Linked DNA regions of Caenorhabditis elegans. The gene in region 1 interacts genetically with each later gene. Each region holds a gene or a part of one and is shown on either strand. Other genes may lie near its edges. The genes, in order: W03G1.5 and daf-8.

Region 1 (4,147 bases):
ATAAACCTACAGTTCGATATTCTGCGCACATAAATTACATACTTCTACAAGTGTTAGATGAGAGTCATTCAGTAGCAATTTTCTGAGAATGCTATCTTGTGAAACATTGTGAAAATGTAGATATCTCAAAATGGCTGCTTTCGAGTTGGTAGTAGTGATGAGGAAAAAAGTTGTTCTCAGATTTTGATCGCTCAGAGAACGACACAGTTGACTTCGCTCGTCGCATAGAGAAGAATCGCGTTGAGTGTCCAAATAAAATGACTCATCGGTTTCAGCTTCTTGATCGATCTCGTAATTTCCCACTTCATCGACCGGATAACGAATTTCCCCGTCTTCATCAATGAATCCTGTTGTTTCTTCGTCTTCGAGTTCATCTTCTACACCATCTTCCTTTTGTCGTTCTTCATCTGCAGTTGTTTCCGTCTCGAAGTTATCGGCCTGGGTGCTTGAATTTGATGGACCATTGCTTCCCGGCTGGTGAGAACCATGATTATTGTCCGTCGGGTCTGAAAGTAGTTATTTAGTCCCAATAAAATCATTTAAAAAATTTACCTAGAGCAACTATTGTCACGCTTTGAATCAGAAGACTCCGGGGTGCTGAATTCAAAATTCTTCGAACTGTTGTTCTTGGATTTCTGGCCATAATCCTCCGTTTCTAGCCGGGAATGATACAAATCTTTGAAAAACACACTGGAATTAACAATTAACACATATTGATAACATATCACACAAAAAATACAATAAAAAAGGTCAAAAAAATGAAATATGTGAAATACGACGAAGAAAAAACAAAATAAAATCAATAATCAATGTTCTGCTAGTTAGCAGTGGGTTTCTGCTAATTAGCAGTGCTTTTTAGCTAATTAGCAATGACCTGCTAATTAGCAGTGGTTCTCTGCTGATAAACTATGGCTTTACTAGCTTTTGCTGATTAGAAGTGATTTTCTGTCGCTCTGCCGTGACTCCAGTTTATCTGAGTTTAAAAAAACATTTTTAAAAATTGTCTAATTTTGAAACGTTATTTTGAAAAACTTGATATTTTGGTAATTAATGATGAATTCGCGATTTTATCAGTAAATGCGTAAATATACGGCAAAAAAATAATCTAAAAACTGTGAAAAGCTCGGCAAAAAGTAGGGTTGATTCCAAAAGAAAACATTTTTTTTCCGAAAGAAATTAAAACATTTTTTGCCAAAAACACGAAAAAGCTTTGTGTAATTTTAAAAATTGTGTAATTTTGAAACGTTATTTTGAAAAACTTAATATTTTGGAAAATTGTACACCTTCTCATAATTTTTTAAAAGTTGAATTTTAGTGATTTTCAGCAAAAAAAAAACGGAAAAATTGTATTTTTTGCCAAAAAAACCAGAAAACACAGAATACACAAACTAAAAAATGTATGTGCGATTTTCAAAAACTGAAAACATGCCAGAAAAACAAAAATAGCCAAAAAATCCATTTTTACCCAATAAAAATTCCCATTACCTGACCCAAAAAATAATCCATTAAAATTTCAGGTCGGAATCCGCAGAAAGCGTCTGAAAGGTGACGCGTTCATGTACAAGAAGGTGTGCGAGAAGATTCTTCAAATGGCGAAAATCGAATAATTCCTATTATAAATATTCTTGTTTTCCTTTTTCTTAAATTTTCCCCCTAATTTTCGCCCAAATTCTCGTCTTCCTGGGTTTTTGTGTGTGTGTGTAGAATATCAATCCCGTTATCATTATTCTTATTATTATTATTCTTATTTTCTATTGTTCCAAGTTGTTTTCGAAACTGTTTTTTTCGAATTTTTCCCAATCGTGTAATATTTTTTGAATATTCCTCTCTCCTCTCTACTAATCCCTCGAATTTAAGTTTTTGTTTCGTATGCTCTTCTTATCCAATGATACCCCGCCTTTTTTTGGTATGAATGATCAAGATCTCTTTCAAAAGTTGTTTTCCCGCCAGCCACAAATAATCCTTTCCCCCCCCCCCCCAAAAAAAAACACGTGCTTTCTCCACTACACTAGTGAGGTTGCGCAAGTGTTCAGCGCCAAAAACTCTAACTCGTATTTGCTCTAGCCGTCTTACTCTCACAGTGACTCCACCCATTTTGCCGCTGATCTCACGAAAAACAAGTGGCCGAGTATAAAAAGCGAGAGCGGATGCAGTTATTTTGTCATATTGAGTCGCTACTGATGGCTCACGGACATCATCATCACCACCGCCGCGAGCGCCCGGGGCGCGAAGTTTATTTCAAACTTACTGCTAAAGATTCGAAACAGGCTCATCTATTCTCTATCAAGTATGAGAAGGTCGCCGGATTGCTCGAGAAGCTCAAGAAGAAGCTCGCCGAGTTCAAGGTCGACTTTGCCAACATTTTCTGGATCGATCGGGAGAAGGATCAGATTTTCCTGCAGACAGCCGAGGATCTGAAGGAGGCGATCAAGTTCTCGAGGTTTGTGGTGAAGCTGTACGCTGAGGGAACTGGTGAGAAGGATCTGAAGGGTCTGAAGAAGGATCTGAAGAGCGAAGACGATGAGGATGATCGTCGCAGCAGCAGCTCCTCATTCTCGAAGGTGTCTCATGGAAGATCGGAATCCGAGTCGTCTTCGTCAGGATCGGAAAGCAGCGATGACGAAAATGATCGCAAGAAGAAAGGTGAGCGTTCTGGAAGTTCCTCTTCTTCTTCTGGATCTTCCCGATCTCCATCTCGTGGAAGACGTGGAGGACGTGGTGGCCGCTCAGGATCCAGCTCGTCATCATCATCTTCTGAATCACGATCTCCCGGAAGACATGAGGAGCCCGAGAAGCAAGGAAAGAAAGAAGAGTTGAAGCAGCTGAAGAAGCAAAAGTCCGAAGGTGTTGAGCATCGTGGAAGATCGGGGTCACCGGGAGGACGTCGTGGACACGGTGGACGCCATGGATCCCGTTCTGGATCTCCAGGAGGTCGTCATGGTCATGGAGGCCACGGAGGACATGGATCACGCTCCGGATCTCCAGGTGGTCGTCATGGTCACGGAGGCTCAGGGCATCATCGTGGAGGTCGTCATGGAGGCCACGGAAGGCATGGATCGTGCTCCGGATCTCCACGAGGTCGTCATGGTCATGGAGGCCACGGAGGACATGGATCACGCTCCGGATCTCCAGGTGGTCGTCATGGTCACGGAGGCTCAGGGCATCATCGTGGAGGTCGTCATGGAGGCCACGGAAGGCATGGATCCCGCTCCGGATCTCCAGGAGGTCGTCATGGTCACGGAGGACGCCACGGCCCACCACATTGTCCAGGACGCCATGGAAGACATGGATCCCGTTCCCACTCTCCTAGAGGACACGGGCACGGAGGACGTCACGGGCCACCACACTGCCCAGGGCGTCATGGACACCACGGACCACCACACCATCATCACCATGATGGACGTTCTCCATCTCGTCACGGCCACCACCACCATCATCATCATGGATGCCGTCCATTCCCACCGCATCATGGACATCATCACTTTCCACCATTCTGGCCACCATGCCCACCACCACCACCATTCTGGCCTCCACATCGTCGTGGCGGTCACTGCCATCACCATCATCATAATGGACATCGTTCGTTCTCCCCATAAACTCTTAATTCTGATGCTTATTATACTGTGCATAATGTATATTTATTTGTGATCAATAAAGTTGTAAATAAATAAATAAAAAAATCGTGTTATGTTTTTTGTTTTTTTTTCAGATTTTCAGGTGAAATAAAAAAAAGAGAACATTGATTCTTCCAGGAAGGCAATTGCCTAGGCAACTGAACAAACATGAGTTCCTTTCCGTCTGTTTTTTTCCAATTTCCACCAGACTCCTAGGCTTCCCCAAAAGGCCAACTGATCGCTTCCAAAAGGCGAAGACATCTCGACCACTTTCTGTTGATCGACGAACAATTTGAGAGAGAGAGAGAGAGAGAGAGAGGAATTGACACAATGAGTGTGTAGTTTGCTTTTGTTTGAGACACGCAGAGTTTGTAGTATTCGGTGTGGTTTATGCTTTAGAGGTTGCAAAATATGAAATCGGAGTAATGGAAAATTGAAATATGACGAATTGACTAAAGTGAAGTTGGATGTTGGTTGCTATTTATTAGTAACAAATTTCGATATGAAGATGTTAATTTAGTGGCAGTGTTATA
Region 2 (5,730 bases), on another chromosome or scaffold:
GGCAAAATTGACAATTTTAAGATAAATTCCCACATAAATACCGAACAAATTTAGGGATTTTTTTGTCTAAAATCAGTTTGAAGTACTCAATTTCAGAAAATTCTTCCAAATAACGTGGCAAATTTGGCAATTGCCGCCTACGTTTGATTTAGATCTACAATTCTTAGAACCTCCTCCTTTCAACCGATCCTTTCACAAGTAAAGTGCTCCACTCTCGCAAGAAAAGGTTTTGATTTCACGCTCCAATATCAAAACGAAACTTTTTTTAAATACTAAATTACTTATTGAAAACAGATCACTGTAAAACTCTAAGCCACTTTCTGGATAAATAAAATTTCGATCTGAAACATTTTAAGCGTAACTGTGCACTACTTTCGACGGACGTAAAACTGCTCGGATAACTATTTTGATGATTTCCAAGGATTTTAGGGGGTTTATATTTAAGTGAATATCCTGGCAGCTTTTTGAAAGTGTTTTTTTTTTTGATAATATTAAATTTAATCCATCAAGCTCGATCGGAAAAAATCAGACCAAAATTACATTTCCAAGGATTCTAGAATATTTGGCTACTGTAAACACTTTTAAAGTTGACATAAGTCGTTTAAAAGCTGCAAAAAGAAATCTCGAGCAGTTCTAAAGCCCTCAAAAACAATGTAAAAATACACAGAAAAAGTTTAAAATCTAAATTTTTAAATAAAAAATTTTAAAACTCGTTTTGATGTTTTAGAGTAAAATAAAAACCTTTCTCTATCAACAAAATTGATCACACGCAAATTGGAGATTAGGATTTTGGCAAAGAAAGAAGCTAAGTTCTGGATGAACATATACGTGGTGGAGCTCCCATACAAGTGAGTACACTATCGACCCAATGCATCGGATTATTCAAATGAGCCTGAAACCAAACAGGCGATCGGAGGACGGTTGAACGACGATAGTGTTCTCCCCAACCTTTGCAGAACGAAACACGAACTGTGCACATTCGTGAGAGACAGTAGACGTCTGAAATGTTGGAAGAAAAAAAATGTAGCTGACTAGAAGGTTTGAGAATTCGTATTCTCCGAAAGTTGCATCGGTAAAAACTATACACCAAAAAATGTCAAAAACTTTTTATAAATTATTTTTAGTTGACAATTTTGATATATCGCACAATAGCCGTACTTTGGACGAAAAGTAATATGATATAATAGAAATTACTAATTCACTCTCACCTTGATATGTCTTCTCAGCTGCTGTTCTCAGCTGTTTGGAGAATAATCTCATGTCAAAAACTTTCATAGTTCCAGTTGGAGGCAACTTTGATACAGTATTCAATTGGAAACCATTCTTCATATTTGCACCGATTGACTGTACAAAAACAGGAATATTGCACAAATTCTCTACATAGACTTCACCAGCTAACAAGTAAAATCGAACACCCTTTCCAATGAGACCACGAACTTCGGCCGTTTGTGGAGAGCGGTTTGGATTGTTGTACCAACCAAGCGAGAAACGGCTGTAATGATGTTATTTTGATATTTACTTGAATTTATGTTTTAGTTCAGTGTACACTAGTGAATGTAGTTAAAATTCAGATGCGTGTAAGTTCTAGACCAGGGCTTCTGTCAATGATACAAACCTTCTGGTTTCTGAGTCAGTGCGACTAGCTGTAAATCCATCGATCAGGCAGTGATGCCCTTCTACATCGGCTTTCTCTCCAATCATCGTTCCTTCTTCATAATAAATTAATTTCAGCCAACTCGGCGACTCTTCATATTCTACACATTCATATATTCCAGCCTGTCGTGACAGATCTCCAAGTTCTAATGCCGAAGATCGATAGAGTGGTCGAGGTTCAATTGGTGTGATAGGCCGTCCATCTGCATACGTTGGCTTTCGGTTTCCATTGTTCTCTGATGAAAAATTCTCGGAATGCATGATGTCACTAACTTCGGAATCATCCATCATTTCTTGATCCAGACTTATTGTATCATTTCCGTTTGGAATAAACTCTCGAGGAGAAGCTGCATGACTGTAAATTTAAAGTTTTATAGATCTAAACTAATATTTCAATTTTTTCCAATATTCAACAGTTTCGTCGGCCCGACCGCCAAATTTAATTTTTTTTTCAACCTTTAGGTCGAATTTCGAATTCTACTTTCAGTTTAGCCAGTTCTTTAGATTGTTGAATCAGTATTGTAAAAACAAAAAAATTCCAAAAAAGTGAAATTCGTACCTAGCTGGAGATGAGAGTCCAGATCTATAATATCCGGGTTCCTCGTCGTCTTGTCGATTACTTTGTTGCAGTAACGATGCGAAAGATGATCCTAATGACATCGTGGTAGAGCTACACGGACTTCCATCAAAAGAGCCAAAATTTCCGTAATTCATATATTGAAAATCTCCGTTTTCAGCTGCATATCGATCATAGAGAAGCTGAAATTTTTATTTTTGAATGTGAGGGGGTGACAGTGGATGTTTTGTAGAAATACGTGCAAATATTTCAGTCAACGTTTTTGGTAAGTTTGCAAATTTCCAAAATTTCTAAAGAAAAAAAAAGATTAATTGCAACTTATTTACTGGATTTTGCATTTTGGAAAGAGTTCAAAAAGGGATATCATCTCTCAACAAACCTTAATTTCATCTCCTCTCATCGTCACATTTGGCACATCCCAACTTGCAACCACCTGTTCCTCTTTCAAATCCTTTTGATTCCAATCATCCAGTGCATCCTCAGTCCGAATCGGAGGTTCACCGTAATCCAATTCCTTATTTACAATAATTGGTGGAACTTGGCACGTCGGTAGTTCAACCCATCGATAATGATACGGATTCAGACAAACATTCCGACTATGGGAATTGAATGCATGTCGACACGTTAATATTGATTTCACTTGAGATTCATATCGAATAACCGGAAATCTGAATGCTCTCAAGACACACATGATAGCTCGTCCAAAGTTTCCAATGAGTTTCTCATTGTGTGCAGGACAGCATCGTGTTTTTGGATCACCTTTAATAACGGCATCGTAGAAAGCTTCAAAGCACTGGTGTTTTTTAGCTACTCTAGAGAGTAATCGGGTAACTTTGAGAGCCCAGTAGATTGTTCCCTAAAAAATAGTTGAGGATAGCTTGACACTTCAAATAGGGCAATTTTAAGGATTTGAATTTCTTAGGAAAAGTTTACTATAACAAAATTTAAAAAACAAGATATGGGCTTTTCTCTTTTCCTGTAATTTTCTCTTTATTTTTTTTTTGGATCTTTTCGAGTCTCCAACATACATTAAAACCTTTTGTCGTAAATATCCTTTCAGTTTCTTTAAGTATTACTATTTTTGAAAAAAAATTGTTTCCTGTTTTAAAAGAAAAGGCTAATTTGAGAGACACATTCTAAAATTAGAAAACGTATAAGTTAATGTTTATGTAGGTTGATTCTAAATATTTTAAAATAAAAATTCGCTAATATGTCTGGACATTTGATGTTTGATCAAGATACGGTATCTCTCAACTCTGCTCTTTTTTAAAGTTTCTTGTTCACTTACTTGCTCGCCGGCTGGCCTAGAATATGAAATTTAAAATTTGCAGATGGCTTTTTAATTTTTAAAAGTAGCCAGCGAGACTATTTGTGTTGAAAATTCAAAAAAAAAGTTTCAAATCTTCAAAAACATACATCTCCTTCAGTGATAATAGTTTCTTCTAACACTTTTTGAGCCATTGCCTCAAGTCTGGGATCAGTAGGTTCTGGTGAAGGAAAATCGTCCATTTTCGTAGTTTTAAAACTGAAATTTCGAAGAATTAAAAAAAATATGGGAGGAGATGTTAGGCTAGAATAAAATCCAAAAAAATGGGCCGAGCTTAAAAAGCAACGACCACAAAAAAGGACTGATTTGGGATAAAGAATAATAAATAGTACAGATGATTTTATATATGAAATTAATATTTTTCGTTGTGCATTGCCGAAATTCAAAAAAAATTTGAATCAGAAAACAGAATTATATCCAAAATGATAATAGAACCTTCTGGTAAGTCATAAGAGTCAGGTGAGCTACTCAAATGGGCGGAGTTTCAATATCTACATAGAAAGGCGAAATGAAAGAATTATGAAATTCAAGAACTCGGAATGAAAACTGGTATGAACGTGTAAAAAATGATAAGAAACAACAGTTTGTGATAAGATTTTTGTGTTGATCAGAATCGTCATCACCTATAAAATCAAGGAAAAATAGAGAGAGAAATGAAGAAAAATGAGAGGAAGTTTTCATTTGATTTATTCAACTTTTAAATGGATTCGAAGTTTTTTCGATATCAGGAACGCGGTTCCAAAATGATCGAAAATCTAGATATTTACCTGAATCTTGATTTTGTTTTATACAGAATTTTTCTGAACTCAATGAAGCCGATGACTCCTAATTAATTTATTCAAGTTTCGTTCATTTAGATATGACAAGGCATCACGAAGATCTCAAGACTCACCCGGCTTCTGATACGTGACCTAGAAATAGTTATAACTCGGCCAGCAATTTATCAAAAGCAAAAAAGTTGGGAGGAAAGTATAATTTCATCTTTTGAAATCGTTTCTCTTAAATTTTAGCAAATGTCCATTTTTAGAATTTCTTTGACTATTTTGAGTTTTTATTTTAAAAAAAAGTCCATTAATAGAAACTAACATAAGTACTACTAAGAAGGCGTCATATTGTTATTTTTGTTTCAGATGGATGTACGTCACTACTTTTTATTGAGGTGCTCTCATGAGGAACCAGAATAAATAAACTATTTTATAACACACTGTACCATTTCCAATTGTTTAAGAAATTAAAAAAATAGAATAGAACTCACAGAAAATCAGTTTTTTTCTGAATCTGGCGGCGAAAAAAGCCAAGATATGGACGGAACCTAATTTTGGGGTGTTCTCTAAGCAAATTTTGAACATTGATTTCGAATACTGAATGTTAGAAGAACGCCAAATTGACGGCGAATAGATTAGGAAAAAAAGGTTTTCAAAACAGTAATAATGTATTTATAAATTCTATAGAAGTATGACATTCTGAGAATATTATAGAAAAAGAGATTTCGTATTATTATTATTATCAAATCATTCTGTGAATCTTCGTATCATATGACTTACTATTAAACAACCAAAATGAGCTGAACCTAAAGCCTTGAAGACCACGAAGTGACCACAGATTAAATACTGGAGGAAGAAACAAAACAAGTAAATAATCATAACAATTTATCTATAAAATCCTTTCAAAAGTTGAAGTAAACAACATCCTTTGAGATATCATGATTAAAAAGAATGAATAATGTTTCTAAATTTGTATAATCCTCTTCCTCTTTTATATTATTTTTATGATTTCTTCTGACTTTGAAGAGAAACAAAATCGGATTCAGATAAATTTCGAAAATTCTTGATTAACTCGGATTAAATGTCTCCTGACAATTGCACAACGAGCAAAACAGATGAAGGGTAGAAGAAGAAAGAGAATTCGTAAGTAAAGAGAATCGAGAAGAGAATAGAAACTGACATAAAAAGTTAGAAGGTTTTATGATTAACATATATCGCATGTTTCTTCGTGTATCGAGAACAGTTTTTTCTCTCTTTCAAATGGAATTTTGAGAGCGAGAAAATTGGCAAATATTATTATTTTTCGTACATGTGAATAGTTAAGAGCTCTCTCCTATAAGAGTATATTTAACTCGACAGGAGGGGTTACTGTACCCATGTACATATTTCTGCGTTGCGTGGCCGCGAAT

What was found.
Region 2: of W03G1.5 (region 1) and daf-8, changing one enhances a phenotype caused by changing the other (phenotypic enhancement), as found in Caenorhabditis elegans (one study listed by BioGRID).

Annotation. Positions count from the first base shown.
Region 1 is NC_003282.8:504,518-508,664, reverse strand, and holds W03G1.5 (PB1 domain-containing protein), read left to right. Parts: upstream 1-2,180; coding exon 2,181-3,596; downstream 3,597-4,147. Other genes in the region: pig-1 (Maternal embryonic leucine zipper kinase), read left to right, coding at 1,518-1,607.
Region 2 is NC_003279.8:8,583,751-8,589,480, forward strand, and holds daf-8 (Smad protein daf-8), read right to left. Parts: upstream 3,758-5,730; 5' UTR 3,740-3,757; coding exon 3,647-3,739; intron 3,087-3,646; coding exon 2,610-3,086; intron 2,413-2,609; coding exon 2,213-2,412; intron 2,009-2,212; coding exon 1,616-2,008; intron 1,493-1,615; coding exon 1,209-1,492; intron 1,000-1,208; coding exon 806-999; 3' UTR 674-805; downstream 1-673. UniProt on the Caenorhabditis elegans protein: Probably a receptor-regulated SMAD (R-SMAD) that is an intracellular signal transducer and transcriptional modulator activated by TGF-beta-like daf-7 signaling.